Tamandua tetradactyla: one gene and its partners. The protein of the gene in region 1 interacts with the protein of each later gene in a pairwise test. Links are inferred from orthologs where the notes say so. Each region holds a gene or a part of one and is shown in the gene's direction. Other genes may lie near its edges.

Region 1 (7,957 bases):
CGTCTTAGGTGTCCTTCCTCTTCCTTGCATCACCTTCTCATTTGTGCAATGAGGATAGTCACGCACAACTTCTTCCAACAGATCCTGCAAACAAACTGATGGAGTCAGAGACTTCCTGGAAATCTTTTAGGGTTAGACCTGTATCTCTATCCCAGGGGAAGGGGCCAAAGCTCAGGAATGGAGGTGGTCACTAAACAGGGCAAGGGGAAGTTGGGGGGTGGCTAATGGACAATGGGGTAAAGGTCATAAATGATGGGGCTTCTAGGACTTGGGGTCATGGAAGATGGGGAAGGGGTCAGGGAACAAAAGAGATGGGGGGGTCACAGGAGACAAGGGGGAAGGAAAGTGTTCACTAAGTGGGTGACCAGGAGGAGGCCTGAGAAGAGAGGAGGGAATGGTGGACACAAGGCTCTGGGTGGAAGCAGCAGAAGTCATGGAAATGAGGCCACTTGAAGAGAGGCAAGATGACATTTCTTATTTTGGGATACCAAGCCAATCAGGGAAATTCCCACAATGCCACTTCACAAAGACATGGAACACTATTGCTTTGACCCCATGCCCGGAAAAGTACAAAGAACAAAGTTGACCCAATAGGCTACCAGACTTTGTAATGACTCTCATAACTTCCATTAGTATAGTATTTTAAGCAACTTTGGAAAACAGTTTCAAGTTTTTAAATCTCTGGTCACTCCCTCCAAAAGGTAGTGGAAATAAATTTGAATAAACAAAACAGGTTTGTTCAAAATAAAACCAGGACTGTTAAATACTCCAGCCAGCCCATTTCCACAAGACCTTGACTATCAGTGCACTCCCTGGTGGCTGAGCGAGCAGCATCCAGCATGTACCAGGTGAGAGGTCAGAGGGTTGGGAGAGCATGGTGCTGAGCAGGAAAGGAGCAGAGATGCTGCTGAGGGCTGAGCAGGCCAGGCTCCCTGGTTTGGGGCTGGGGGCCAGATGGAGCTATGAACCAGGATCTCAGGGAACAGCTGGGGGAGTGGCTTGGGTGGAAGGGGTCCCAGATTAGGTGAGAGCGGTTCTCTCTCTGGCCTTTACCTACAGGTGGTTGCATTCCTGGTGATGGTCATGGGAACTTACACCCATAATTGGAGGCTCCAAAAGGAAGGTACCCAATGGCCCAGCTGCTGCTCCGGCAAAGGGCAGGACCCCTCTGAGGAGTGGCTCAGGTGGAATACTGTGCCGTCTCCCCCAGAGGCTGCCAGCCTCACCCGCCCCCTCATCCATCCTCCAGAGTCCTGCCGGGCCAGCGAGGATGGACCCCTCCACAGCAGGGCCATCTCCCCCTGGAGATATGAGTGAGTGTGTTGTGTCTCCCTCCTAACGTGTGTGCCGGTCAGGGTGTGAGCGAGGGGAACTGGGAGTTCCACCCAAGCCCAGTCTACTTTCTTCCCCTTTTAATCTCAGGCAGGCCATGATGTTTCAGGAGTCCCACATGGCTGGGGTTTGAATCCTAGCTCTGACTCTTACTGGGTGATCTTGGGCCAATTATTCAAATTTTTATTCATCTGTAGAATGGGGGAACATCCCATAGGCTGATGTGCAGATCAAATGCCACAATGCATGTAAAAGTCTGTACTTATTCCAGGGAAAGCTGATTCTCTCCTTTTCTTATCCTTCCAGTGGCCATGTTTTTCTAGTGAAAGTTTCAGGGAATGATGGTATGATACAGGTACACGGTATCCCGATAAAAAAGCTCTGGGCCATGCAGGGAAGAGAGTTACAAGTATACTAAGCTATTGAAACCTTTAACCTTTGGGGGCAGCTGGATGGCTGGAATCTCAGGCTGGTTATCTTTGATCATGAGTGGTCTTATTTTTTCATTCAGTGTGCTACAAAACTATTATCCTTTGCTCTTTGCGCCATGATATGGAAAATATTAGGAGGCTCTGAAATAGGGACAGTGAAGAAAAATATTAAAAATTAGGGCCTTCAGGATCACAGACCTATTTATTCTTCTGTTTTGTGTCCTCATCAGATGTCCATGTTCCCACTTCCCGTAATTCTAGTTCTGGCTTAGCTTTGGCTTTGGAGATGGATCTCCATCCATCTATTCGGTGTGGGTAGAGGGGGACGGGGGTCAGCTTTAATCAGGACTAGATTTAGCATGGAGGTTCAAGGTCATTATGTTCTAGAGCAGTCTCAGAAGGCTAGCTGGATCCTGAGCCAAATTCAGTGGAGGGGCAGCCGCTTAGGGGAGGCTGTCGCCAGGTGGCCATCTCTAGCGGGAGTCTGTGAACCCCTGAGAATCACCCAGCTGGCCTTTCCCAAAGTGTGCTCTATGCCATGCTTGTCCCACAAGCTGCTCCTCTGGAAAAAAAAGCGACAATGTCAAGGAATCTTGGGAAAGGCTGCTCTAGCCCACAGCACATTAAAGGCTGCAAGAAGTGTGCAGAAAAGAACCCATTTAATTCAGTACTTCCCAGACTCGTTTGGCCACAGATCCATTTTCTTGCAGAATACTTATTAGGGAACCTACTTTTGGAAATATTGTGCTAGCTGAGCCCCAATTTTCCAGGGCTTGTTTGTATGGGGAAGGGTCCTTATATTTAGGGTCTATTTCCTGTTGGACTGCTGGAGTCCCAGACCTTTGGCACACTTTGCAGTAGTTCGTAAACCTCTTTTTTTTTTTTTTTTTTGCTAAGTAAGTAAATAAGTACTTGTCAAAATAAGTAAATAGGTCTTACCATACACTTGCACACGTGCTTATGATACATGCATGGGCAGTGTCTGGTAAGGTTGCAAGAAGGGTTGACAGTGGCTCCCTCTGGGGAGTGAGACTGGTGGGGCAGGACCATTAGCCATTACTTTATACTTAGATTTAAGGGCAGTTTTTACTTTTACAATTAAAAAGCACATAAAAATGTAATAACAATAACAAAAAGAGAATCTCATGCTAAAGCCCAGTATATATGCCAGATTGTGCAGAGACTCCTCACCTTCTCCAGCCTTCCTAATGGCCCTTGGACCAGTTAGAAAACCGTTCTCTAGTCCCCTATCCTTATTCACAGTTGGGAAAAGAAAATCCAGAGAGGAAGGGTTCCAAGTCACTGGCTCAAAGTCACACAGCCGGTTAGGGTCAGAGCTGGGGCTAGAAGCCAGGCCGCCCACCACAGCACTTCCTTCGTCTAACACGTGTACGCCTACACTCACGTGGGGCACCCCCCTTGCCCCACTGCTGTTGTGTCCCCCTCCCTCCCTGTCTGCCTGACCAGCTCCCCTCCAGGGCCTGACACGTGCTGCCCCCACAGGTTGGACAGGGACTTGAACCGGCTGCCCCAGGACCTGTACCACGCCCGCTGCCTGTGCCCACACTGCGTCAGCCTACAGACAGGCTCTGACATGGACCCCCTGGGCAACTCGGAGCTGCTCTACCACAACCAGACCGTCTTCTACCGGCGGCGGTGTCCTGGCCACCAGGGTGCCCCCGTGGGCTACTGCCTGGAGCGCAGAGTCTACCGCGTCTCCCTGGCCTGCGTGTGTGTGCGGCCACGTGTGATGGCCTAGCCGGCCAGCCCGCCGCTGCTCCCTCGCCGGGAAAACTGGGGCTGGGCCAGCTGTGGGTCGCATAACCCATCAGTCGTTGTGGGCCAGGACGCCCAAGTGCTCGGCCTCTCCAAAGCATGACCGACCTGGAGCAGCAGGATCCTGGGACAGGATGGGGGGCTTTGGGGGGGGGGGGACCTGCACTTTTGCACTTTTTGGAATGGACGGGAAATACAGGGTGAAGCGAAGGGAGTGGTTGCTGAAAGCTGGTGTGGGGAAAGGGCTTCAAAGCTCTGCTCATGAGGCCACCACGCCTGCTTCCTCCTCTCCTCTTATTCCCAGCTGCCTCTGCACAGCACGGGCACTCTCTTGACGTTTTCTTCTCTGCCAGTGGAGAGCCCCCCGTTTATTGTTCATTTGTTCATTCACTCATTCATGAATTCATTCCTCAAATATCCATTTTGTGTGCATCAGGGTGTAGTTACATATCTTTTGACATGGAATATTCTGAGGAGGAGGCTGTTGTTGAGCATGGAGAGATGTATCCAAATAAAGAAGTCATATTTAAAAGTGGCCTCATTTATCTTTGGCATCCCTGATACCTGAACACCCAGGGGTCGCCTAGCTTGGACTCTCCCCTCCTCCCCACCCCCGCCGCCACCCCTCACCTACTGCCACTCTGCCTGCCACAGTTTCCGCTGTGCCCTCCTATCCCTGCCGCTCTCTGGTTCCCTGACCTACTCCCGAACACCAGGGTGGGGGATCAGGCTGCCTTTCCGGCCTGCCAGAGATACAGAGGCCCATTGAGGCACTGCAGCAGGCACACAGCACCCCGTTGTCCCCCCAACAATCCGCCTTTGTCCTCTGGTCCTGGCTGCTACAGCTCGGTCCAGGCGGGGTGCAGCCTGGGCCAGGCTCCAGCTCCCAGCCTCCCTACAAGGAGAAGGGAGAAAGGAGGGGCCAAGGAAGAGGGTTAAAGGCAGAGGCGGGGGACACAAGTTTCTTCAGGCTTAGGTCCTTGAAGGGCTCCTAGTCCTGACTCTGTTTCTCAGCTTACCTCCCAGCACCCCCTGGTTTGCCTGCCTACTTCCTCCGCTGCCCCTTCCTCCTCCCTGCTCCCCTTCTCCGGGCTGGGTCAGCTGGGAGTAAGGGGAGGGGCTAATCACACCCCAGCTCTCCTCCTCTCTCACCCCCACCCGCCCTGTGCACTTCACAGGGGGCCGGTGCAGGCACCAGTGGGGGGCACTCTGAGTCCAAGCAGCTGGGGGAGGGCCCATCGGAACCAGCCTGCCCCGGCTTCTCCAGGGGCCCCGCAGACTGGCCTCCTTGCTTCACTTTCAGGTTCCTCGCATCCTCCCTGCTCCTGGCTGCTAACCCATCCTGCCAGGTTTCCATTTCCCTTTCTGGGCTGTGGCAGAGGGGGGCTGTGCTCAGTGGGCCCCCCCGGAGATGCTCAGCGCTCGGAACCGGCCCCCCGAGGAGGGGGCAGCTGCGGGACTCCAGGGTTTCGCCGTGGACAAGACCTTCCTCTCTTCCCTCAGAGGCATCCTGCTGGAAACTGAGCTGGTAACTGCTGCCTCCCCGAATCGGGTGCCTCCCTCTCTCCCATCCCTGGCTCCCTGGCCCAGCCCTGGCCGCGGGGCCTTCCCAGCAGCCTCCTTTCCCAGGCTTTCTGGATGCCATCTCCCCCACCCCCATCTCCCACCCTGCCTTCTGGCCGCTCTCCATCTAGAGACAGTTGCAGCAGGAAGAATTGAAGTTAGACAGAAGGACACTCTTGGGGACCTCAGGGGTACCTAAGTCCCAGGGCTGGGACAGGGAGTTGGAATGCCTGCCTGCCTTTCCTTGGCCTCTAAGATGGCCACTTCTTGGCATGTCTAAGAACTATCAAAAAGGGCAGACTTCCTGTGGCTCCACTTTTATCTGTTGTCTACTCCCCGTGAAAATCTATTTCGGGATAGGGTCTTCCCCTGGTCACTAAGTGTACACTTAATTTCTGTGCACATTTGCCATCCTGTGCTGCCAGAGCTGCAGGCCCCTGGGTCACCGTGTGCGTCTGCCTTCTGAGCCTCGCCTCTTGGCGTGGAATTGAGGACTTTGCTCCTTGTTGAAGTTTTAGGCATCTGAGAGCGGGGAAAGTGTTAGGGGGCAGGGCATGCCTCCTGGGGCCCAGGGCTTCACGGGCACAACTGCAGAGGCAAGTGTTCAGACAGTCCTCTGTGCTCCAGGGGGCCACCGCTGTCTGCATTGCCCTTTGAATGGTGCCCCCTGGAGTAGTGCAGCTCGGCCATACCGCTGGGGCTGCGTTTAATGGGCAAATGCCCCGGCCTGGTAGCTCCTGTCACTGGAAGGGGAGAGGGTGGGGTGGTGGAACCTGCCAGAGCTCTTGCTTTCCTCTCCAAAGACAAATGGTGCCAGCCAGGGGGAGCCCCTGGCCTGTGGGCTCGTGTCCCCTTCCTGGCAAGCACCACATGCTCGGTCCTGCAGGCCCTGACCTTCATCATCTTTATTTGCTTCACGGCCTCCATCTCTGCCTACATGGCCGCCGCCCTGCTCGAGTTCTTCGTCACCCTCGTCTTCCTCTTCCTGTACGCCACCCAGTACTACCAGCGCTTCGATCGGCTTAACTGGCCCTGTCTGGTGAGGACACCTGCCCCCCCCACCCCGTCCTAGTTTCTCCCTTCTCCTTTAAACACAGAGGTTTCTTTTCCTCTCCCAGACTCCCCTCTCCCTAGGCCCAGTGAGGGTGGGCCCAGCCCCGCCTGCCTCAGCTTTTCTCTGCCCCCTGCTGTGCCCTGCCATCAAAAGCTGAGAACTGACCCATGCCGGTTTCGTGGCTCCATGGGTCACGGACAACGAGGGGATTGCACACCCTTGTCTGTTCTCCCACTCACCAAAGTCCAGCCCCACTCTCCCAAGAACCTGGCCATCTACAGGTTCTGGCTGGGGTGCTCCAGTCGCCATTTGGGATCGGCTGCACCCCCCTACCCCTGCAGGCCCCTGGCCTCCTGCCCTGGGTAGCTCTGGATTCATCTGCATCTGTTCCCTGGTAGTAGGGGGAGCGCCCTTTGGAAAGAGCTTCGTTTTGTGTGTGCAAGGGTATCCCCTTGTAAGGACTGGCAGCACTGCTGACTAGCCTGGAAAAACCTCAGGTTGGATGCCCCTGACCTCTGACCTTCCCTTTGGCCCTGCACCCCCCACTTTTTTTATCTCCCCCAGGACTTTCTTCGCTGCATCAGTGCCATCGTCATCTTCCTGGTGGTCTCCTTTGCCGCTGTGACCTCCCGGGACGGAGCTGCCATCGCTGCTTTTGTGAGTCTGGTCCTGCAGGGCCCTCTGGGCCCCCAGGGTCCCTGGCTGATGGCTGCAGATGCACCTTTCTGGGTCCTCCCGCCCCTCGAGTCAAAGCCAGTGCCCAGGATTGTGGCTCACGCCTTGCCCCAGGTCACCCGCCTCCCTCTTCCCAAATCCAATGGCCTGATGCCCTTGGTTGTGCAATCCCTGCTTCGACCCCCACAGGTTTTTGGCATCATCCTGGTCTCCGTCTTTGCCTACGATGCCTTCAAGATCTACCAGACTGAGCTGGGGCCCCGGGCCACCCAGGGTGAGTGTCTGCACTTGTGCCCCTGCCCCAGCCCCAGCTACCCCATTCTGAGCTTCCTTCTCCTGCCTGGCTCCATCTTCGCAGGCGACCAGCAGTGACCCCCAGGGCTCCCCAGTTCCAGCCAGTCTTAAGGGGACACAGGAACCCAGACACATCTTCGGTTTTGCGAGACTCTCTGCCTACCACCTCCCCAGCCGGGCCCATGGAGATGACGCCTGGCCAGAGAAGTCTCCAGGCGCATCTGTGGGGCCTGGTGCTCTGGGACCTGGCTCCTGATGGAGCTCCACCCAAGGAGGGGGTGCCGTGGAGGGTGGGAAGGACGACAGAGGGGAGGAAGCTGAGCTCCCAAGTCCTTCCCAAATTAAAAGATTCAAGTACTGGTGGCGAGTCTTTCTGTTTCCCAGAAATTAGGCCTCTCAAAGAATGTGTGTTTTTGGAAGTGTTGCCTGCAGCGGGTCATGGTCCCTCTCTGGACCCTGGTCTGAACAGGGAGGAGGTGGGGGATGGACTGAAGACACAGAAGGCATCATCCAACACAAAACTTGCCTGCCACAAATCTCTGGATTCAGGGCCACTTTGTGGCGTGCCTGGTGCTTGGCGCCTGGAGTTTTATATCTAGGAAGGCACAAGGCTTCCTGATGCATCGCCCACCGGCCACACCTGCCACACCTGCCACACCTGCGCACACAGGTTTGTTAGTGGGCCAAGGAGAGGAGCTAGTCCGGGGCGTGTTTCGAGCTCCCCCTCGTGGTGTGGGGAAGATTTGGCCAGCAGGCCCCAGGTGAGGGGTCAGTCTATGACGTCAGGGGAGGGTAGAGAGCCCCAAAATGCCAGTGCAGGGAAAAACCCTTA
Region 2 (7,581 bases), on another chromosome or scaffold:
GTGACATTGACCGCTATACAGAGGCTCTGCTGCAAGGCTGGCTTGGAGCAGGCCCAGGGGCCCCCCTCCTCTACTATGTCAACCAGGCCCGCCAGGCTCCCCGTCTTAAGTATCTTATTGGAGCTGCTCCCGTGGCCTATGGCTTACCTGTCTCCCTGCGGTGACCCCTTGGAGCTATTGTATATCTGGTAGAAGCCAAGTGACTCTGTTACCCCCCAACTTAGATTTTATCCTTAGAATAAATATTTTTAAGTGATTTCAGTGTTTTATATGAAATATTTCCTTTTAACTTAACCTTAATAAAGATATGTCACCTAAATACTGTTTGTGTAGCTCATTTGATAACATTTGTGGACTTCCTGCTTCCTCCCCACTAATCCCCCCCGGCCCCCACCATATGGTACTGTAAGTGCATGGGAACAGCTTTCAGGAGTTCAAATCTGAGAGCACTGGGGATAAAAGGCAAAACCACAGGACAGAGCTGGGCCTGGCTGGGTCTCAGCAGACAAAGCTGAAGGAGAGAGGGGTAATAAAATGCTCTTAGTGGGAACAGAGGCCCAGGGAAAAGTAGGGACCCATTGTGAGCAACTTGGCCAAGTGCCATCACGTCTGTCTTGTCTTTCTCCTCAGGTATCCTGGGTGTGACACTAGCTTGGTGCCTCTGTTATCTTGCCCCCCTTCCAAGTAGATGTCAGTGGCTGCTGTTCCTCTTTCACGTACAGCTGCTACACACTTGTCAGTGCCATGGACTTAAGCAGCAAATTCTGTGGGATTCTGCTCCCTGTGTATTTTATTTATTTATTTATTCATTTGTCTTCTCAACTAGATTGTAAGCTCCTGTGAAGTACAAATTATATCTTACGCTAGTGTATTCCTCACATCTAGTATATGGTAAATACATTTTGTGCTGAACTTGTTAGTTGTAATGGTACCTTCTTACTGTTCTCTCCACCTCTGGACACTCTTCATCTTCATTTGACCAAAGGACCGTTTTCACAGTGCTATGCCCCCTCCCACAGAACTTCACAGGCTTCCTCCTGGCCTCTCAGTTGCCACTCACGTGGATTTTTACCACTCACATGGAGCAGCTTACGCTGCTTGTGGTAATGTCCCGGGTACTTGTCTTATCTTTAAGATTTTTAAGTTCCTTGAGGACAGACGGCAGAAATCTTGCTTGCTACAACTTTACTGTGCTATGCTTGGGATGCTTTGTGAAAGGGATGCGCTCTTACCTTCTCGAATCAAAGGCGAATCTCGGGAATTTCCAGCCCCTCCTTCCTGGGACGGAGGAACATAGAGATATCCGGCGCAGCGAGGCCTCCTGGCGCTACCATCGAGATGCGCAGAGGATGGCTAGAGCGTAAAGCGCCGAGCCGACTTCCCTTTCATTAGCCCTCCTTCTCAATATGGCGCAGTCAGTTAACATCACGGAGTTGAGCCTGCCGCAGCTAGAAATGCTCAAGAATCAGCTGGACCAGGTGGCGACGGACCCCTGAAACACCCTTTTCCCGCCTCACAGCTCCCCTGCCCAGGCGGACTCCTCGCCGCCATTCCTCCCCTGTTTGGGAAACCTCCCTTCCAAGGCGAAACCGCCACCGCATCCCCGGTCCTGTCCCCTCTTCGGCCAGACTCCCCTGACGCTCCAACCCGTTGACCATCTTTCCTGTTCTCTGCAGGAAGTGGAGTTCCTGTCCACGTCCATTGCCCAGCTCAAGGTGGTACAGACCAAGTATGTGGAAGCCAAGGACTGTCTGAACGTGCTGAACAAGAGCAACGAGGGTATGAAGTAGGCGTGCGAGGGCCACACGCAACATAGGGAGTGTGGTTAGCCAGTTTCCCCTCTCTTCCCGCCGCTTCATCCAGTTTTCCTTACCCGAGGCGCGAAAACAATCCATTGCGTATTGTAAGAGCCCTTTGCATGTTCCATACCTAGAGTTGAAATGTACAGAACTTTCCTCTGTTTCTGTTGCCCCTGTTTCGTCCTTTTCATACTGGGTGCTGTACTATGTTGGAGTTCCCTGTAACGTTTTAATGTTGGCGCTGCCAACCTTCCCCAGGTGTTTGTCTTAATTCCTTTCACAGGGAAAGAATTACTTGTCCCATTGACCAGTTCTGTATCCTTTCCACAGGAACTGCTGCCCTGACCTCTCCCATTCACCCCTTCCCCCTCCACAAAGAGGAGGTAATTTTGATTACTTCCGAGTCCCTTTCATTCATGATTCTGAAAACTTCCAGCTCTCTTTTTTAATCTGGGGCTGCCTACCATCCAGCTACTGCCTTGTAAATTACCAAGGGGTGTGTAAAGTTGAGCTGCATTATTTTCCTTTGCTGTTTGAGGATATTAATCTAATATAGGGACAAAACTGGTAGTTTACACTTTTGCTAATAATCTGGATAGACGACATAGCAGTAGAAGAATAGGGTATAGAAACAGTGGTTGGCTCTGTTCCTTTTTCTTTTTCTTTTTTTTTTTTTCCGCATGGAGAGGCACCAGGAATTGAACCCAGGTCTCCAACATGGCAGGCAAGAATTCTGCCACTATTGGCTTTGTTTCTTAATCTTCAATTTCAGCTTAATTGTGGCTTTTTTTCCTAAATTGCCATCTCTGAGAAGCCTGGATTGTGTCCACCTATTAAGTGTTTTTGTTGTATGAACAATTTATGGCAATAGGTAGTCTGAGAACTGACAGGCTAAAAGAGAAACAAAGGAATAGCAGTACAGTAGGGAAAGGTTAAATAATCATTAAATTCATTAGGAACTAGGTAGTACAGGGTTGGAGGTATTAAGGGGAAGTGAGTCTGGGTTTTCACCTTTACTACTCTAGAAAAGTAGGAAAACATCATTGTATCTAATCTTTCTGGAAGAGCTAATGGGAAGAATTTGAGAATTGCTTGTAGGGTGGGAGATGGGGTCAGGGCAAGAGAGTGTGCTAGCATGTGACATTCTCTCCACAAGGAACCACTTTTTCTCTGCCTCTCCCCATTGGAGTTTTTAAGTATAGTTCTAAGGGCTTCTGATTATTCAGAAAAGGTTATATTCAGTCCCTTTGCCTTGAAGCTTTCTAGAGAAGGTGTGCCTTCAAAGGCCAAGCAGACTGACTTACTGGAATTGTGGTTCATACTGGGATAGTTTTTCCCTTAATCCTTGCTTCTCAGATGTACGTCCCTGGTAAGCTACATGATGTGGAACATGTGCTCATCGATGTGGGAACTGGCTACTATGTAGAGAAGGTGAGTTTCTAGAAGCAAATGGGTGCCCTTGTGAGCAAGAAAAGGGAGCTTAGGAGAAGATCTAAGCTGTGATATATGGTGTCTCCTCTTACCTCTCATTTACCTCTGACCTGTGCAGACAGCTGAGGATGCAAAAGACTTCTTCAAGAGGAAGATAGACTTCCTCACCAAGCAGATGGAGAAAATCCAGCCAGCTCTGCAGGAGAAGCATGCTATGAAGCAAGGTAAGCTTGACGTAGGCCATGTTTTGTCCCTTTCTACCTCCATGATTAAGAACATGGATTGCAGTGTGAACCCATAGGGTTTAATCTTGACTGGGTTAAAGCCATATCTTTATTTCTCTTCCTTTGGTGTTTTGGTGTGTTATTCTCTAGCTTTTGTGTACTATCTGTAGATTTCTGGGTTGGGTGCCTAGGATGGAAATCATGTCCGCTCTTACAGAGGTCTTATTTAATGGAGATGGAGTAGGGGATAAGATAATGTAAATGAGTATACAGGAAAGAAACATAGCACTAAGTAAGTACTAGTGATTGCTACCTTAGCTGCATGTTAGAATCACCTGGGCCTGCTCCACACCAACTAAATCAATCTCTGGGACCTTGTTCCTTAGGCATCAGTGTTTTTTAAAAGCACCCCAGTTACACAACCAGGATTGAGAACCCCTGTTCTAAACGCAAAAATCTTTTCCACGTTATATCTTGCAGTTAAGTTTGGCTCATTTAATACCATAATTTGTTCATTTTAGCACATTGACACATTGTAGGCTATAAGTTTGTACCTAGTGTGTCTGTCCCCCTATCACTGGTTAAAAATTGTATTAACAAACTGTAGCTGGTTGTCTCCCTTTGCTTTTCTTAACTCTAGGTCCTCTCCTTCCTTTAGCACTGGCCAGTGTCTGAATCTTCCTTTTTCTTCCCCAGCTGTCATGGAGATGATGAGCCAAAAGATTCAGCAGCTCACAGCCCTGGGAGCAACACAGGCTACTGCCAAGGCCTGAGCTTGTTGCAGAAATGGGGTTAGAGGGCACCCTGCTTCAGGGGCCTGGACTTCGTAGGAGTGGCTTTTTGGTGTGGGGAAGATAAGGGCCTTGTGTTTAATGCTAATAAATGTCATTTGGGCACAGTGTTGGTCTTTTCTTGCATTAATCAGGTACTGTGTTGGGGTTGGAGGTGTCCGGGAGAGTGGGCTCCTGCCCAGTGCGTGATAAGCTGTGAAGCGGTTCCCACTTTGGAGGCCCCACACGGGATCCCTAGGAGGAACTGAGAAATCTTGCCCTGCTTAGCAATGTAGTCCTGTGAGGGCTCTGTTGCCATGGGGACGGCCGGCAAGCGGAAGTGGGGCCAAGCGGGCTCTTCCCTTTCCGGGTTGAAGTTCCGCCTCCCCGCCGCGGGAGCCATATGGGTCATAGCTTCCTGTGCCATCTCCGCCAGTCACTTTCGTGGCTGTCCCCTTTCCAGGCTCGACTCTGCATAAGGAGCCTGGCGTCTGTCCCGGCCCCCAAACGACCCCGCGGCGACCTCATGGCACCGCCCCGAATCGGGACGCATAACGGCACCTTCCATTGCGACGAGGCACTAGCGTGCGCGCTGCTTCGCCTCCTTCCCGAGTACCGGGTATGGTCCGTGAAAATTAGCCCTGCACCTACCCGCGTGCTTCCGGGATGGACTGCGTTCTCTTTAACTCTACGTGTTCCAGCCCGTTCTAACTGGATCCCTCTGGTAGCACCCCTCCCACCCGCTCTGGCTCCCCTGTAATATATTAATTCCCTGCCTGCTCACCTCCCATGTATTCCGTAGGATGCAGAGATCGTGCGGACTCGGGACGCCAAGATATTGGCTTCGTGTGACATCGTGGTGGACGTCGGCGGTGAGTACGACCCTCAGAGACACCGATATGACCATCATCAGAGGTGAGTTCCCAGATCTCATTTCCTTTACCTCTTTACTTCACCCTTCCTCTGTCCTTATCGTCTACCTTGGTCCGTATCAGTGAAGGGAATTGGCCTTCGTTGAACTCAAACTCCTGAGTCCCGCAGGGAGTACATCCTCCCATCCTTCCAATTTCTGTCTGCCATTCACCCACCTTTTTGCCCTTAGACCTTTCTCACCCCTGACCTCTACCCATGCTTCCCTTGGCCCCCAGTCAATCCTGACTCACCTTCTTCAGCTCAGACTCTTTTCCTGCCAGCACCGTTATCACCCTAACTAATGCCCTTTCTGGGATTAATCCATTCATCTGCTCTTGCTGCCACACATGGGGCTGCTGGGCCCACATGATTGTAGTGATCGTTGGCAGTTTAAATAGGCATAATCTACCTCATTCAGACTCTTCCACTGAGAAATTTTTCTTGTCCAAGTGTGTTCATAGTACCATTCCAGTCCCCCTTCCTTCTCTTCAAGCTCTCTACCTCATTAAACCCCCTCAGTGATTGTCCCTGACTTCTACTCCTCAAAGAAAAGTGAACTTTTCCTGCATGAACTTCCTCAGTTTCCCACCCCTGAATACCCTGAACTCTCTCAATCCTTTTCAGGAAAAAGTGGTCCCTTGTTTTGGAGATTAGTCCTCTGCCCTTCTTCCAATCTATTACTTCCTTCTGCTTGGCTTCCCCTCACAGGTCTCCCACCAGCGTTTCTATTCTTCCCTACAGCCCAAAACTGTCCAAAACATCTCCCATCTTGAAACAAAGGAGTGAACTCAAAACAGAAAACCCCATCAAATCCACTACACTGTTCAAAGTAGTCATCTCTGAGGGATCCTGAAGACATTTTAAGTTTCTATATTTCTCCATCTCTTTTCTTTCCTTCACCCTATTTTTCTTAAACATTGTACTTCTTACTTTTATAAATGGTGTCTAAAGGGAAACCTCCCCTTAGTTACAGCTTAAGCTCTCACTGTCAGTCACTCTTCAAAAGAATAGCCTATCCTGGCTCTACCTCTTCCCTTCCAATTAATTCCCCTCCAACCAGCTGCAGTAGCCTTCACACCCATCTCAGTTGGCTTAGGGTCTCACTTTAACTGACCTCCTTGTGGCATATGACATCATTGACTACTTCCTCTTTGCTAACGGTTCTAGTTCATATACTTTTTCTAAAAATTATACAATGTCTGGAATATAAGACATAAAATGAATGCACACAAACCTATTTCCCTACCTAAGAATGGAAACATTGCCATAACCTTTGCATCTGTTCTTGTGAGCTTTTTCCCTAGCCCTCTCTCCTGTCTCCCTCACAAGTAAGAATGTTGTTCAGTTCTCACAATGGATTTTAGCGTATGTGTATTTCTATAAATGATGTATTGTTTAGTTTTGTTTGTTTTTAAACTTTATCAGGGAATGTTAGTGTATCATCAATCTTTATACCCTGTGTATATTTTATATATATTGTATTTGTACAATAGTTAATAATAAAAATCATTAAAAAAGAGCTCCCTAAATGATTCTGATGGACTGGTATTTGGAAATAACAGCTGTAGTTTTTATTTCCTTAATATGTAACACCTGCTCCTTATTCTCTGTCCCACTGCTGTTCAAATTTCTGCCCTCCTCATTCACCTGGACCATTACAGGTAATCTTGCATTCGTTCTCCAAATGGGCTGGCATGATGCTCTAAAATGCACTTGCCTGCTTAAAATCCCTCAGTGCCCCTCCCCCACCCCACTCCATTGCCTACAGATAAAAATCCAGATTTCTTTTTTTTACATCAATTTTTTTCTTTTTTATGAAACATAACCACATACAAACATAAACATTATCATATGATCATTCCATTTTGTTATGTAATCAATTACACACTATCATCACATAGTTGTATATTCATCATCATGATCATTTCTTAGAACATCTGCATCAATTCAGAAGAAGCAATAAAAAGAAAACAAAAAAATCATACATACCATACCACTTACCCCTCTCACCAGCATTTCAATCTACTAAATTTATTTTACCATTTGTTCCCCTTATTAGTTATTTATTTTTAATCCATATGTTTTACTTGTCTTTCAGTAAGGTAGACAAAAGGAGCATCAGACACAAGGCTCTCACAACCAAACAGTCACACTGCAACAGCCATATCATCATACAATTTCTTCAAGAAACATGGCCACTAGAGCACAGCTCCAGTTTCAGGCACTTCCCTCCAGCCTCTCCATTACACCTTAGCTAACCAGGTGATATCTATTTAATGCATAAGAATAACCTCTCAACTCTGTTTGCAATCTCTCAGCCGTAAATAGTTCAGATTTCTAAGTGTGACATAATCTGGTCTTTGTCCTTCCAGCTTTATCTTTTCTTTTCTTCCCTCCTTTTTTTTAACGGTGGTAACATAAATACAACATAAAAATTTCCATTTT
Region 3 (8,037 bases), on another chromosome or scaffold:
ATTCTAAGTGCCACAGGAGTTAATAAGGGAATATTAATTTCTGATAAATTATTTTTTCAGGGACCATATGTTTTATTTATTAAAGTAAACCAAACTCCAAGCAGAATTGTAGCTGCTTACTAGAAAATTTTTAATGCTTTTTGAAAGAAAAATATATACATTACTGAACTCCAATGACCGCACAAATATAAAATGTGGATGACATGGTTAAACACTGAGACAAGTAGGATAAAGTTTTGGGTTGCCACAAGCTCAGAATAATCAATAGTGTGATGGTGCATGATTTAGTGACAGAAAAATTAAACTAGGTCTGGGCCCCAGGACAAGTCACTTAAACTCACTGTAAAATAAAGTTAAGAAGAACACATAATTCAAAAGATTGTTTTGAGGGTAAGATTATCTCTGTGAGAATTTTTTGCTGATGCATATTTTTAAAAGCTTGATCTGGCTACTGTGTGGATGATGGATTTGACAGGTATTAGGAATAGGAATAATAGCTGGGAGACCCACCAGAAAGCTCTTGAGGTAACCTGGACCAACAATGCCACCAAGTAGACCCCCAGGGCCTACTTGAGGAGTGGCCACATTTGGGGTATATTCTGGAGAACCAGCAGGGCTGGATAATGGGCTAGGTGAACAGGGCAAGGGAAATGGTGGTTCTGTTTATTGACATATGTAAGGGATGAGGGGGTGGGAGAGAAAAAAGAGTACTATTTTGGACACTGTAAATGGTGAGCACCACAGTGGCAGCACCCTTCAGCTGAGAAAGCTCACTAACAGTTCAACTGTTTAGCCAGGTACAGGGGAGGAGAGATTTGTGAAGCCCAGCCCCCACCCTGCTCAAGTCACAACGTATTCCCAAACAAGCAAAACCAGGACATATGTCTCAGTGTACCAACTGCTGTAAGAGTGTCTGTCAGGCTGTAATGGGCTACAAATAACAGACAACTCTGAAGCATTCTGGCTTAAACCATAAAGACAGTCATCATCTCCTACCACAAGGAATCCAGCCTTCTAGGATCCTCTATGCTTTGGCCTCCTCTGGGTTCTGGCCTTGTCATCCAACTGGGAGCAAGAAGGCTACAGTGTTTCCCGCTCCCTGCCAGAACCAGCCACATGTGGAGTCAGAAAGAGGTCCATCGCTTCCAGTGTTTCCTTCTTTAAAGTGAGGAATTCTTTTCTGGAAGTTTCCTCAAACAGATCTCCTCTTACCAATTATTGGCCCCAGAGGAGTCATATACTCAACCCTAAACAAATGCCCTGGCAAGGACCAGGGGATTCCAGGACCAGCGGAATTGTATTAGACCTGTCAGGATTTATTCCTGGAGCTGGGAAAAGGGCAGCCAGACCAGGCCAGACCAGGCCTTTTGTTTTGATGAACAAAATCAGGGCCCTGCCTGCAGGGAGATGAGAAAATTGCTGCTAATTTGGAGCTAAAATGTCTGCCATAGAGCAGAATGAATGGCCTGCTGCGGGGGTGGAGGAACCCAGAAGCCCTTTGATTTCAAGAGCACCTTTTTTAAGAGTTAAAGATTCTGTACAAAGAACCCTTCTTTCTTTAACTGTAATGACAAAAACAAAAATGTTTAAAAGAGAAAATCTCTCTCCTCCTCCAAGGAGATTCACAGCCTGCCGAAATCACAATTGTTTTCAACTTCCTTTGTCCTAATCTCTTTATCCCCTGCCTTCTCCCATCCATGGAGCCGTTCCTCCCTGGTTCATTTTATGTTGTTCACAAGCATTTTTACAGGTACCTGGCTCCATCTCTGCAACTCTGAGCCTGCTCCATCTAGCGGATATGTCACAATTAATGCTACCATATCTACATACTGGACATTTGTGATCATTCTACTCTTTCATTGTATTTGTCACAGGCATGGCTGGGCATCTTTCTTTTTCTTTAATTGTGGTACTATATATATATATATATATATATATATATATAAAATTTGCCTTTTTAATCATTTTCAGGTATACAAGTCAGTGGCACTAATAACATTTACAATGTTGTGCTACCATTACCAGCATCCATTACCAAAACTTTTCCATCACCCCAAGCAGAAACCCTATACCCATTAAGCAGTAATCCCGCGTTCATTCCTCCCTCTAGCCGCTGGTAACCCCTAATCTACTTTTTTTCTTTATATATTTCATGTAAGTGGAATCATACACTTTTTTGTCCTTCTGTGCCTGGCTTATTTCACTTAGCATAATATTTTCAGGGTTCATCCATATTATAGCATATATCAGAACTTCATTCCTTTTTTCTGGCTAAATAATATTCCATGGTATGGATAGACCACATTATGTTTAACCATTTATTTGTTGATGGACACCTGTGTTGTTTCTGCCTTTTTGTTGTTGTGATTAATGCTGCTAAGAACACAGATATAAGAGTATTTGTCTGAGTTCCTGCTTTCAGTTTTTTGGGGGTATATCCTAGGAGTGAAATTGTCAGGTCATATAGTAATTCTATGTTTAACTTTCTGTGGAAAGTCTCTTTTGAAGAGACTTTCTTATACCTCTAGGGAAATTCCCTATCAGTCCTGCTTCCCCAACATCAAAGTTGACAATATCTCTCTCAGCCTCCTCTGATACAAGAACACTTACATGATCAAGGCTTCCACAATCAGGCACATCCACGTGAGACTTTGAATCTGTCTGGCTTTGGGGCAGGGTGGAGGGAGGTCACTTTCTTGATGCAGAAGTGGTTTCAGTGCCGCGAGCAGTAGCAGACAAGTCTAAGTCCTGGCATTTAGTATCTGGAGACAGTGGTAGCAGCAGCAGTTTTCTTTTCAGGTCAGTTCAGCAGCTATTTATCCAGCCCTCCCCATCCCTGCCCAGAACTTTTTATTTATTCATTTATTTATTTATTTATTTATTTATTTATTTAATCACTTGCCCAGTACTCTTTAACAAATCCCTCTTCTGCTTAAACCAGCCAATATAAATTCTGTTACCTGTAAATTAAGATTTCCGACTGATCCATTCACTGTTATAAAAGATGTTGTAGTTAACAGCTCTATAATATTTTTTTCTTCCTTTGGACTCTTAGCCCTGTGCTTCTGAAACTTCATTCAAAGGCACCCCCTTCAAAAATTTTTGCCACCCATAATATTATTTACCGAATACTTTTTAAATTGACTGATCTTTTGAAACTCAGCATTTACTTGTGCCAGGTTTTTCCTTTTTTTTAAAACAATACACACACACAAACACCATTAAAAGAGAATCCATTAGTTCACATACCACCCCCCAAAAAATTCATAACCCACTAGTGATCACAAAAATCTTAGGATAATTTCCAAGAGTAGAGTGACAGAGGTAAAGGGTAGGAACAAAGAAAACAGTTTTACACTGTACCAGCCCTTTCTAAGAAAAGGTGATAGTTTGGAGGACCAGGAGGAAAGCGGTGTTGGCTGGTCTCTTGGTTTATCTGAACCATCCATAAAATTATAGTTCTGTGATAGTACTGTACATTGGTTTAGTGCTATGTTTTGGAGTTTTGCTGCATTAGGTTCCTTAACCTCCCTGATCCTCAGTTTTCTCACCTGTAAAATGGGAGAAAGAACAGATCCTACTATACAGGGTAGCACTGGAAGCAGTAATTGTGTACCAATACGAAGCATCTGCACAACACCTGATACCTAAAAAGCTGTAGTTCATAGTTGTCGAAACTCCTCTGTGCTTAATAAAGGGAGGGTGTGTGTGTTATAAATATAGTTTCCCTGATAGTGCCCAGTCCCTCTGAATCATAATCTCCAGGTAAGGAAGCCAGTCAACATAGTCACAGGATCTAGTGAGTTTCAGAAACTTAATCGGGTTTAAGTAGCTGCTATTATTGTCTTGGAGTAATGTTGGGAAGCTGCGATGAAACGATGGATGTGAAAGTTAAAAGTTATTACTCATTCATTCAGTCAACGCATTTATTGAGCACTCATTGCATGCCCCGCCCCGCGTTAGGTGATGGGGATAAAGCCTAGAACAAGATTCAGTCTGCCGTTAAACGCCCCCCTAGGTTGGTCCTTCACCCTCATTTATAAAATTGAGGCGGGAGTCGGGAGGTGGCGGTAGTGGTGGTGGCGGGGCGACGATCGGAGAGTTTCTCCCTGGGCTGCTGATGGTTTACAGGAATGTCTTGGGGACTGTGACCTGTAAAGTCGGGCAGTAAAGAGTCCAGGAAGTTGTGAGCCAGGGGGCAGCTATTTGTGGGGCAGGGACTATTCGACCAGGAGAACAGAGGATTCCGTCCCTGATCTCGGCCCGTCTCATTTCCTCTCAGGTGGATACTGTTATTTCCATCTAACGGATAAGGTTTAGCGGACAGAGGGCTTACACTTGATCCCACGCCCAAAAGGCGCCCCGGGCCTGGCCCTACCTCCACCTGCGGCATGGAGGCCGCCCGGCCTCCCGCGAGCCGCGCGCAGCAAGTCGGACTCCAGGGGATTCGCGGCCTCTCTCCGCCGGCCCGGGACGTTCCTCAACAGTCCGCGCTAGGGCCGTCTTTGCCTTTCGGAGGCCAGGACGCTGCCGACCCCGCGGGCCCTTACCTAACCCAGACTCAAAGTGCCCTCCCGACCCGCCGGCCTACAAACTACAATGCCCACGATGCTTCGGGGCCCTGGTGCATTGTGGGAGGGCCCTGGTGCCTCATGGGAGGGCCCCAGAGCGCACCAGAGAAAACTCCGTCGTCCCGCAGGCGGCGAGGCCCATGTGTATTGTGCAGACACCAGCGACCAGCGCCTTCTTAGAAGTCCTCCGTCCCGCGCCCGGAAGTTGGCGGAAACGACCATAGAAACTGGTAGCTAGAGGCGCCCAGCCTCGCCCTGCCGGCCCCTATTCTTGCCGGAAATAGCCTCCAACCCCAAGTGTCCTTCTTTTTGGCACTAGCGGGCTTCCGGTCCGGTGCCCGAGGCGCAAGCACGACCACAATGGCTGCTACGACCCTGCTGCGCGCGACGCCCCGCTTCAGTGGTGAGAGAGCAGGAAAGGCGGTGGTGGCTCAGGATGGGGGTGGGGGAGAGGCATGTGGGTGGTGTCGGGGTGGCCGGGCTCGAACCCGCGCTCTGACGCCAAGCCTCTGCCCCGGCAGGTCTCGGTGCCGGCACCACCTCAGTGCTGCAGGTTTTGTTCCGGCCGCCGAAGGCCCCGGCGCTGCCCGTCTTGTGCCGGGGCCTGGCTGTGGAGGCCAAAAAGAGCTATGTGCGCGACAAGCCCCATGTGAACGTGGGCACCATCGGCCATGTGGACCACGGCAAGACCACGCTGACTGCGGCCATCACCAAGAGTGAGCGGGCTTGGGGTGTGGCAGCTCCCGATCTATTGGCGGGACCTGGAGCCCAGAGTGGCTGCTGGAGGTGTTTAGTGTGACCCCAGAAGCCAGGTCTCCGGCGGGCGGTAGAATGGAGGATCCAGGAGACAGAGGTCCCCTGCTCACTTAGTACTTTGCGATGCATTTGGGGGACGCGCTCGCCGTGGGAGTACTCTGTAAGAGGAAGCTTTACCTTGGCTGACCCCTGGGGCCTTTTAACGTTCCTGTCTGATCCAAAGTTACCTCTGCTGCAGGAGTTCGAGACTTGAGGGAGGCGGAGAGAATCTTTCTTCCAGACTATTATTTGTTTAGGTGGGAGGGGCCTAGGGGCGTGGTCTGAGCCCTGCTTCCAGTTCTAGAATTTGAGCTGAGAGGGGGTTTCTTTCCCCCTCCGTTAGTTCTGGCGGAGGGAGGTGGGGCCAAGTTTAAGAAGTATGAGGAAATTGACAATGCACCGGAGGAGCGAGCTCGCGGGATCACAATCAACGCGGCTCACGTGGAGTATAGTACCGCAGCTCGCCACTATGCCCACACAGACTGCCCAGGTCACGCAGATTATGTCAAGGTGAGAGTTGCTGCACACGGCAGGGCCAGAACTGCTTCTTGTCAGGATAAAAGTTAGGGTTCTGTGGGAGGAGGTTGATAGTGGATGTGTGAGTTTGTGGCCGTGGGTAGTGGGTGGTGAGATGGCTGGGTCAGATGGATATGGAGCTGAGAAAGTCACTTTACTAGGCTGAGGGTTCCATTTCTTCCGCCCAGAATATGATCACAGGCACTGCCCCCCTTGATGGTTGCATCCTGGTGGTGGCAGCCAATGACGGTCCCATGCCCCAGACCCGAGAGCATTTATTACTGGCAAAACAGGTATGCAGAGCTCATATGGGGGTGGAATGAGTAGGGGTTGGGCCATTCCAGACATTTGCCCTATCTTTGTCCCTGTCTCCAGATTGGGGTAGAGCACGTTGTGGTGTATGTGAACAAGGCAGATGCTGTCCAGGACTCTGAGATGGTGGAACTCGTTGAGCTGGAGATCCGGGAACTGCTCACTGAGTTTGGCTACAAAGGGGAGGAGACCCCAGTCATCATAGGCTCTGCCCTCTGTGCGCTTGAGGTGAGGGTGGGGACAGCAGGGATTGCTGGTGGAGGATGGGGCTGCATGGGCAGGGGCTCTGCCCCGAGTCTGGGCAGACTTGTGCTAAGTAAAAGCAGAATGGAGGTTTCAAGAGTCCTTCACCTTCATCTCCCAGCAACGTGACCCTGAGCTAGGGCTGAAGTCGGTACAGAAGCTGCTGGATGCTGTGGACACCTACATTCCAGTGCCCACCCGGGACCTGGAGAAGCCTTTCTTGCTGCCTATAGAATCGGTTTACTCTATCCCTGGTGAGGACTGGGCTCGTTCACCACTCCCTCTCCAAGAGGCAGGCCCAGGGTCCCTGACATCCGTTCCTGTTCCCTCCCAGGCCGGGGCACAGTGGTGACAGGTACGCTGGAACGTGGCATTTTGAAAAAAGGGGATGAATGTGAGTTCCTGGGACATAACAAGAACATTCGCACTGTGGTGACAGGTATGGGAATGAAACCTCAGCACCCAGGGACTGGCTCCATGCTGACCTCTCCCCTGGCACATCCCTTGTGCTCTTCCTCTGCCCCAAACCCTCCTCCTTTATTCTTTCTCCTCCCTCCTTTCTCTCTCCTCCTAGGCATTGAGATGTTCCACAAGAGCCTGGAGAGGGCAGAGGCAGGGGATAACCTTGGGGCCTTGGTCCGAGGCTTGAAGCGGGAGGACCTGAGGCGTGGCCTAGTTATGGCCAAGCCAGGTTCCATCCAGCCACACCAGAAGGTGGAGGCACAGGTGAGGGCTCTAGGGGATGGTGAGCAGGGCTGAGCCAAACAGCCCCCTGCAGAGACAGTGCTTCCAGCCAGGCCCAGCTCTACCTCACCCTGCTTTCTTATCCAGGTTTACATTCTCAGCAAGGAGGAGGGTGGTCGCCACAAGCCCTTTGTGTCTCACTTCATTCCTGTCATGTTCTCCCTGACTTGGGACATGGCCTGTCGTGTCATCCTGCCCCCAGAGAAGGTATGCAGGTGTAGAGAGATGTGAAGGAGTGGAAGGGGTCCTCTTCCAGTCAGCTCTACCTTGTTTACAGGGAGGCCAAAGATGCCAAGATGTCTTGATTTCCTCGGGTGGAGGTGTATGGGTCTGGACCGTGTACCCTGGGCTGAAGTAGGCAAGCTTACTCTACCAGTATTTATCCCTAGGAAAATTAAAAGTTCCTGTTATTTATTATGTGGGACTCAGAAGTCCTGCAACTTCTACATAGCCCATAATTTAAACCAAAAAAAAAAAATTTTTTTTTCCAAAATGTTTTTCCAAAAACATAACCTTGGGAATACTGATCACTGGTCCTTTTTATGCTTTCCTGCCCTTGCATCTGCCCAACATCACCTGCTGCATTGTCCCATGAAACTGAACCTCTATAGTAGGCAGAAGCAGTTAAGGTACCCCAAAAGCCATATTCATTCCTGTCTCTTTTTCCTTCAGGAGCTTGCCATGCCTGGGGAGGACCTGAAGCTCACCCTCATCTTGCGGCAGCCAATGATCTTAGAAAAGGGCCAGCGTTTCACCCTCCGAGATGGCAACCGGACCATTGGCACCGGCCTTGTCACCGACACGCCAGCCATGACTGAGGAGGACAAGGAACTCAAGTGGAGTTGAGTCCATGGAC
Region 4 (7,634 bases), on another chromosome or scaffold:
TGATAAAAAATATTGGAAGAAAAATAAGGCAAAAAAGAAAAGTGGGTTTCCTTCAATAAGGAAACAAGATGGGTCACATTTCAGTAAGATGGTCAGGGAAGAACTCTAATCTATGATGTGACGCTTTGTCAGAGACCTATGTCAAGTATGGGAGTGGGCCTTGTGGATGACAGAAAAGCATTTCAGACAGAGGGAAGAGGGAGTACAAAGTCTCTAAGAAGGGACTGTCTTTGGCATGTTAGAAGACATGGCAGGGAGGCCTATTTTTTTGGCATTAATGTGAGAAAGGGAGAGAGCTGTTGAAATGATTATCTGAAAGTTCCCTGGGGCTTGGATCTTGCAGACCAACGAAAGAATTTTGGATTTTATTCTGAGAGGAGAAGCCATTAAAGGATTCTGCATTTAGAAATGATGTGATCTGAATTTTGTTTTAAAACAAACAAAAAGGGCTTCCTGAAAGATGGGTGGAAGTGGCAGACCAGTTAGCTGACTACTGAGATAATTCTGGTGAAAGATGAGGTTGACTTGAGATAGGCTGACGGCGATCATGGAGGTAAAACTGGGTCGATTCAGGTAGTCTGTAAATAAAGTAGAAGGATATGCTCATGGCTCTCAGGTGAGTTATGAGAGAAACAAAGGAGTCAAGGAGGTCTCTAGGTTTCAGGACTGAGCAATGGAAGAAGCCACTTATTGAAGACAGGGAGCTCTGGAGTAGGAATGAGGGTTTGGGTGGGCAATCAAGGGGTCAGTTTTGGACAGTTTTCTCTTTGAGACACGTGTTGGGAATCCTAGTGGAGACGCTAATGGGCAGCTGGATATGTGAATCTGGAATTCTTAGGAGAGGTTAGTGCCGGAAGTAGAAATTTGGGAGTTATCAGCTTCTAGAAGGTGGATGAGCTCACTAAGGGAGTGAGTGCAGACAGAGAAGAGGTACAATGAGTAGGTCCTGAGGTCCTCCAACATTTAGAGATAAGGAAAATGATGAGGACCCAGCAAATGAAATGGAGAAGAAATGGCTTATTCTTAGAAAGAGAATCAGGAAAGGATAATGTTCCAGAGATGCTGAGTAAAAAAAAACCTGTTTTTAGAGGGACAGAATAAGAGGATGCCAGCAAAAATGGCAGAGTAAGGACTGCTTAATTCTTTTCATCCACAAAAGCAATGAAAAAATTGGCAGAAATGGAACTCTAGAAACTAATCAAAGATTTGCAGCAATTGGGGAGCAGTTATCGAAGAAAAATGGCTGAATCTCAGTAAGAATGTTGAGTTTGTGTTTTAACTTGCTATAATCTTTTCTCCTGCTCTCCAGCCATGAGATAGACTTGAAAAATAACATACATAAAATATAATTTTCCAGCGTTTTGCTGGAAAGGGGAGCAGAGAAATGGGGATGGGGGTGAAGGTTGAGAGATATTATAATAATTCGGTAGGCTGATGGGAATGATTCCGTAGCGGAGTAAAAATTGGTAAGTGCCTCCTCTGTCTGTGCTATTAATGAAGAGACAGAAGGGAATTACTGGAGTATCATGCTTCTTATCTAACTGTGCCAAGCACAGGTGTCTCTGGTTATTGGGGGACTGTGTATGTATGTATGCGTCTACACACATGCATACCATTTCTGTGTGAATGTGTGTATAAAGTATAATACTATATTAAAATATTATGCCCATTAGTAAAGATACACAAATGCAAATTTTTAGAAATTTAAATTCTAAAATTTTTTAAAATTATGATGGCATTATAGGAACATTAAAATCTCAAGGCAAATAGATATTCGGAGTGAGGTACATAGTAAATGAAATCCGTATTTCAAATGTCTTCTTGATCACTTTGAATTTTCTGGCTGTTTTCTTGTCAGCTTTAGCTAGATCCAATCTTGCTCTTACCTTGTAGTGAGGCTGACAAAATTTTCATACCAAGAAGAGTAGAAATGACTGTTATTTATTATTTACCCTGCCTGTATTACTAGCATTGTCTTCCATTGGGAATTTTTTTGTTTGGCAGGTATGTTTTATTTTTATTTTTATTATGGAGAATTGTTAACATATATAAAGAAACAGAATAAGAGAATGAATCCCAATATACCCATCATTCTCTTCCACAATTATCAACTCATGGCCCATTCATTCTCCCCCAGCCCTGTAATATTTGAAAGCAAATCCCATACACCTGGAAATAATTCAGTATGTATCTCTAAAACATAAGGACTCTCAAAAAAAACATAGCTCCAAAGCCATTATCACACCCAAAATATAATTTGTAGGAATCTTTAATTTGTAGTAATGGGGGAATCTTTGCAATAAAAACCAGGTCAGGAAAGAGAGAAATGTATTTTTAGTACAATAAAGCTGAGGTCATTTTTCAGAAGGAGTAAGTTCAAAATCATATTAACCTGATGAAGATGCTTTCTTTGCATTGACTAGGTGGGGTGCATTTCTCTTTAAACTAGACTGCTGATTCTTTTTTTTTTTTAATTGAGAAATCTTCACACACACATTCCATACATAGTATAGAATCACTGACTCACTATATCATCACATAGTTGTGTCTTCATCACCATGATCATTTTTTAGAACATTTGCATCACCCCAGAAAAAAAGAAAGAACTCATACATATAACACATCTTACCCCTCCCTCTCATTGACCACTAGTATTTCCATCTACTTGACTTATTTTACCCTTTGTTCCCCCAATTATTAATTTTTTTATCCTTTTTTTTTTTCTCATCTGTCCATACCTTGGGTAAAAGGAGCAGACTGCTGTTCTGGAAGAAAATCTAGTGTGTGGTGGTGGGTTGTGTTTGTCTTCAGGTGCTTCAGGAGAGAATGCCCTGGCATTGCTGGTAGAGCAGGGCTGAGCTCGCATGGAAGCAGCCGATTCGCTGCCCATGGAATTCGAGTGCCATAGCCTCTCCCCACTTCCATCAGCAGAAACGGGAGCCCGCGAAAACCTCACCCTCACCCTCACCCTCACCCCGCTGAAGTCTGAGATACAGGGAGGGATGGACTGGAGACTCCATTATGCCACGGACAGGTGGGAGGCACTAGGCTGGAGGACCTGCAGGAACGCAGGCAACAGAGGGGGAACCGGTGGTCCCAGAGGGCGCAACGGACACGCTTGGAAGGCCCAACCCTTGAGGCTTGGTGCTCCCCTGCGGTGTGGGAAAAGGGAGCCAGCTGGTCTCTCCCTAGTTTTTAGCCCTGTACTGTTTGGGGGAAATTACTTGAAACGTCAACATTTTAACTTAATTTTTCCTCATAATTTACTTTTTTTTTTTTTTTTAGTGAATTATTTAGTGCAGGGAGGATGGGGGAGGCGGAGTTAGGATTTGGGCTGTGGGTAGTGGTGGCAGCGGAGCGGTCTTTGCAGAGAGGCCCCGGCCGTAGGCGGACACCCAGGCAGAGCAGCCGAGCGCCCCGCTGTCCTCCGGGGGCAGCCCACGGAGCCTCGACATGGAGCTGTGGTCACCCACATCCCACGCTGAGTTCTGTCCTTCACGGGGCACGGCCGGACACTCTGCGGTGAGGAGCGGGGAACCCAGGGCAGGTGGTCAGCGCGAGCTGAAGGGGCAGATGCCCCCATCCAATGTCTGCGCCAATGTAAATGACTTTCCCAGTAATTGTATTAAAATGAACGAGCCACTCTTTCAAAGAAAGTTAAAGAAATGCTAACACCAAAAATATCTCTGAACAGAGAAAGATCCTTTAGCTTGAATGTTCATTTTTATGAGAAATTCACTACATTGTTCTTATTCTTCTCTTTTCCACCAGAACTATTAACCACGGTGGGCAGAGCTGCAGACTCGCACTTGGAAACCCTCGGAGAGGAACCGTCAGGTGATCTCCGCGATGGTCCGCGCCTCACAGCGCCGCTCCGGCGCCGCAGGGGCCGCCTCCGAGGAAGTCACTGCTCGGTCACCGAACCCCACGCCCCACAAGACTCCTGGAGGGCAAGGACGAACGACTGGGGTCCTTTACCTCTGACCCTGCCGGGGCTCTGCTTTCTGTGGGAACTCGAGTGCTTTCTAAGGAAACTCGAAGTTTCTTATGCAAACTCGTTGCATAAGGCGGGGCACCGAGCAGCCTTCGCCTCGTCCTCAAAGCCGCGACGCTCTCCACATCCACCCAGGCCCGTCTCCTCCCTTCACCACCTGTTCACAGGTCCAGCCGGGCCAGCACCAGCGAGTAGATTGACGGATAACGCGCCTAAGGGGACCCGGCACAGACCGCCGCGCGTGCGCACGCGCACCGAACCCTCCATCGACCCGCCCAGCCGGGCCTGGCTTTCTCCAACCCCAGCACAAGGCTCTGGAAGGTGCCCGAGGGGACCTGCATGCCAGGGCAGCCTCTCATTGGCTCCTCTAGTTCCGCCCCTGGTTCCGATTGGCTGCAGGCCGGGTGCACGGACTGAGCACGCTCCCTGGCGTGGCGCAGCATTCGGTCGGCCACAGCGGCGCAGCCAATGGGAGCGGCCCGCTGGGCAGAGCCTGCCCTGCTAGGGGTGGTCCGGACTCTGGCTAGGTGGTAAACAGATCCCTCCCTCGTGCTAGCTGCCCGCGCTGCGGCGAACCCGAGAGGGACGCGGGATCTCCGGATCCTGCAGCCAGGTAAGGCTGCCGCCTAGGGCCCGCCGCATGTCCGAGGAGCCGTCCGGCTGTGGCCGGAGCTGGGCGCTTCAGCTGCCTGGCCCCTCTTGCCTCCTCCTGCAGTGACAGCGCGACTTCCCCTTCGCGAATTTCCACTACGGCGGGCTCCGGGGACGGGGCGCGGTGGGCTCGCCTCAGGATGCAGGGTGGGGCTCTGTGGCTGCCTCTCGTACCTGCGCCCACCTCAGCCCGGCCGACCCCGCCTCGGGGAGGGTACAAGGGTCGCGTGCAGGAACCCTAGGTCCTTGGAACGTGCAGGACAACTTCGGTGGCCGGCTCTCCCATGCCCGTGCCTCTTGGTCGCCAAAACAACTTTTTTTGCTAGGCTTTCTCATGATACTGTTTCTTTTTACTCCTGGACCCCAGATTCCCTTGCACTTGTAGCTTTGTGTCTCGGATGCAGATTTGTGCCTGAAACTTTGATTCACTTGGGGCCAAAGCCAGCTGTTGGATGTTAGCGTGGGGGATCTTGGTTAAGAGAGTCTGTCTTGGTCATTTCTCCCGTTTTTTTTCTGCTTTGGTCCTTCCTTCGACTTCTCCAAGCCCTGGGGATCTTGTGAGTGGTTTGGGCTTAATCTCCAGAACTGGGCCTTTCCCTGGCTTTGGCCCTATTCGCTGCAGAGGGTACGGCCCCTTCTGCTTTGGGGACGGGGGAACGCTGCAGTGGCAGGTCTGGATGTTGAGACTCTCCATTTGGTTCAGAGGGATAAATGTCCTAAAGGTTGAGAGGCTTGAGTGCAGCTTCCCAGCCTGGGTCAAGCCTGCAGCCTATTGAAAAACTTTTCTGTGCTCATTTGGTTTACATGGCAGAGCAAGGCGGAGATGGGCATGTTAGGCCTACCTCCTTGCTAAAGGACTTGAGCATGCATTGCTGCCAGCCTGTCAGGTGGCATGTTGTGGATGGGTGGGTCATTCTGGTAGGAGGGCTGTTGGGAAACTGTCTCTCTTGGAGGAGACAAAAGAGGAGCTGCTGACACAGAGGGGCAACATCTTTAAGACTCAGATGATGGCTTGGGGGAGTTTTGTTCTGCATTGCAAATAATGCAGATAGTGCGTGCTTGTTATAACTGTTGGCCTGAGCCCTGGCAACTCAAAGAAAAAGTGAACCTGGTGGTCTGTTTACCTCCCTCAGAGCCAGTCCTGTATGACAGGTTTCTCAACCTTGGAACTACTGATATTTTGGCCTGGGATAACTCTTTGTTTTGGGGGACTTCCCTGTCCATTGTAGGGGGTGTAGCAGCATCCCAGGCCTCCTGCCACCAGATGCTAAGAATATTCCTTCTCCCCTAGTCATGACAATTACAGACATCACTACATGTCCCATAGAGGGCAAAGTCACACTTAGCTGAGAACCACGATGTAAGGATCTTTTGAATATGTCCATGAGTAGTTGGAGAGGCTTTAGCAGAAGATAATGTTGTGTCCCCTGCCCTAAGCCAGCAGTAGAAGTTGTGTAGATTGGGCTTTAAAGGAGATCCTCCCTCTGCACCTGGGTAGCAGAGGTGAAACCTGCCAGCATAGAGATAGGAGGTAGAAACCATGGGCATTTACTGTGCCTGCTGGATGAGGGCAGCGATAGCTGTGTTGGGAGTGTAGAAGATGGTGGTTTCTGCCCTTGAGGACTTTTCAGAACTTTTGGGGCTATATATATGAAACACGTTTTAAGTAGTGAGCAGATGCCTTTATTGGTTTAAACACTGGTAGAAAAGCCAACTCAGTTATCCATTATCCATAAGTGGCTTTCCAAGCTGATGCTTCACTCACCCTTACTTTATGCTCAGATTCCTCTTGTGGCTTGTCGTGTGGGAGGGGGTCTGACCTATGTCTTCAGGGAGTGAGTGAGTGGCTGCATTTCATATGTGCGTGTGTGTTGTATTTGTGTGCACCATCTGCGGCTGCAGACTCAGAAATGTCATGGTGTAGCATGGCCACGGGTATAATTTGTGGAGCTCTTTTATGGTTGACTGAAGAAGCCATGTCATAAAGACAGTGTGCCATTTCTTCTTGTGCAGAGAAAGATGCTTTGCTTTTGAGGCCAGATTGTGCCTTCTATATAACTTGGAATATATCCCCCAAACTTCTAGGTCTCATGCTGATGGGGATATAGAAAAGATGAAAAAGGGGCGATTATTGTATAGGGCTTATGCAAGGAGAAACACCCCAAGCCCCTGACTGAGTTTCCCTTTCTTGTTGTTAATGGATCCTATGGATGTGCCAGGATATTCCTGTCACTATTTCTTGATCAGGTAGGGGGTCTTCTGGTTATGCTTTGTTGTATACAGAAAAGATCAGGGCAGGGAAGTCACTTCTCCTTTCGCAAAGATAAGTTTAGGGAAGTCTATTATAGGGAAGCTCCAAACTTGGCTGGATAATTTTCCAGCAAAAGCATGGACGCTGAGTCATTTTCTTTGTCAGTTGAAATGAGAGCTGTGTGCAGGATTAGACAGGGATATTTGAGTAGAGAGTTGTCTTGATTTGACAGTGGTGTCTGGAAATAGTTCGGCATTCCTGCTCAATGACGGGTAAGACCTTGGCACAGCCAGTGTTAAGGAGCTGGAGGGAGGGGGGCCTTCTGGAGTTGGACCTGGTGGGAAGGTGGAGCCTCCGGATACGGAGGTAGAACCAGCACATTGCTTGAGATGTGTGGCTAGTCCAAGCACTCTGTGAACCTGAATCTGAGTGGTATCCATTGGTCTCTCTGCAAGCATGTTGATTGTGGGGCTGTAGGTTCTTGAGCCCTTGACCTTTTGGTTTAAGAATAGAGGACCACAGAGTGTTTAAAACTGGAGGTGACCCTGGAAAACTCTTTATTCCTCATACCTGGGTGTAATTTTAGCATGTGCATGTATAGAAAGGGTCACTAAGGAGCTCAGTGTTTTTCACTCAAATTGCCACCTAAGGGTATCTTAGAATCTGCTGTAGATAGTGGCTGATACTTATCTCAAGAACGCTCAACTTGCTGGTGCCCCTGCAGGCCCTGCCTCTGAA

The links.
Region 2: the proteins of CMTM5 (region 1) and MYG1 interact in binary tests that used the Homo sapiens proteins (3 or more experiments, as listed by UniProt). The two-hybrid records come from large-scale screens. The link is inferred for Tamandua tetradactyla from reciprocal best matches to the Homo sapiens genes CMTM5 and MYG1.
Region 3: the proteins of CMTM5 (region 1) and TUFM interact in binary tests that used the Homo sapiens proteins (3 or more experiments, as listed by UniProt). The two-hybrid records come from large-scale screens. The link is inferred for Tamandua tetradactyla from reciprocal best matches to the Homo sapiens genes CMTM5 and TUFM.
Region 4: the proteins of CMTM5 (region 1) and COQ8A interact in binary tests that used the Homo sapiens proteins (3 or more experiments, as listed by UniProt). The two-hybrid records come from large-scale screens. The link is inferred for Tamandua tetradactyla from reciprocal best matches to the Homo sapiens genes CMTM5 and COQ8A.

Annotation. Positions count from the first base shown.
Region 1 is NC_135340.1:31,514,792-31,522,748, reverse strand, and holds CMTM5 (CKLF-like MARVEL transmembrane domain-containing protein 5), read left to right. Parts: upstream 1-4,544; 5' UTR 4,545-4,574; intron 4,575-4,842; 5' UTR 4,843-4,950; coding exon 4,951-5,067; intron 5,068-5,988; coding exon 5,989-6,141; intron 6,142-6,720; coding exon 6,721-6,813; intron 6,814-7,020; coding exon 7,021-7,105; intron 7,106-7,189; coding exon 7,190-7,203; 3' UTR 7,204-7,485; downstream 7,486-7,957.
Region 2 is NC_135333.1:114,659,006-114,666,586, forward strand, and holds the start of MYG1 (MYG1 exonuclease), read left to right. Parts: upstream 1-4,463; 5' UTR 4,464-4,627; coding exon 4,628-4,843; intron 4,844-5,026; coding exon 5,027-5,139; intron 5,140-7,581. Other genes in the region: ESPL1 (separin), read left to right, coding at 1-164; PFDN5 (prefoldin subunit 5), read left to right, coding at 1,407-1,478, 1,677-1,779, 2,083-2,114, 3,156-3,230, 3,349-3,454, 4,151-4,227. UniProt on the Homo sapiens protein: 3'-5' RNA exonuclease which cleaves in situ on specific transcripts in both nucleus and mitochondrion. Involved in regulating spatially segregated organellar RNA processing, acts as a coordinator of nucleo-mitochondrial crosstalk.
Region 3 is NC_135349.1:25,025,815-25,033,851, reverse strand, and holds the start of TUFM (elongation factor Tu, mitochondrial), read left to right. Parts: upstream 1-4,664; 5' UTR 4,665-4,931; coding exon 4,932-4,974; intron 4,975-5,092; coding exon 5,093-5,287; intron 5,288-5,709; coding exon 5,710-5,876; intron 5,877-6,070; coding exon 6,071-6,175; intron 6,176-6,257; coding exon 6,258-6,422; intron 6,423-6,558; coding exon 6,559-6,691; intron 6,692-6,771; coding exon 6,772-6,876; intron 6,877-7,011; coding exon 7,012-7,163; intron 7,164-7,268; coding exon 7,269-7,388; intron 7,389-7,853; coding exon 7,854-8,027; 3' UTR 8,028-8,037. UniProt on the Homo sapiens protein: GTP hydrolase that promotes the GTP-dependent binding of aminoacyl-tRNA to the A-site of ribosomes during protein biosynthesis. Also plays a role in the regulation of autophagy and innate immunity.
Region 4 is NC_135333.1:19,604,087-19,611,720, reverse strand, and holds the start of COQ8A (atypical kinase COQ8A, mitochondrial), read left to right. Parts: upstream 1-4,415; 5' UTR 4,416-4,607; intron 4,608-7,634. UniProt on the Homo sapiens protein: Atypical kinase involved in the biosynthesis of coenzyme Q, also named ubiquinone, an essential lipid-soluble electron transporter for aerobic cellular respiration.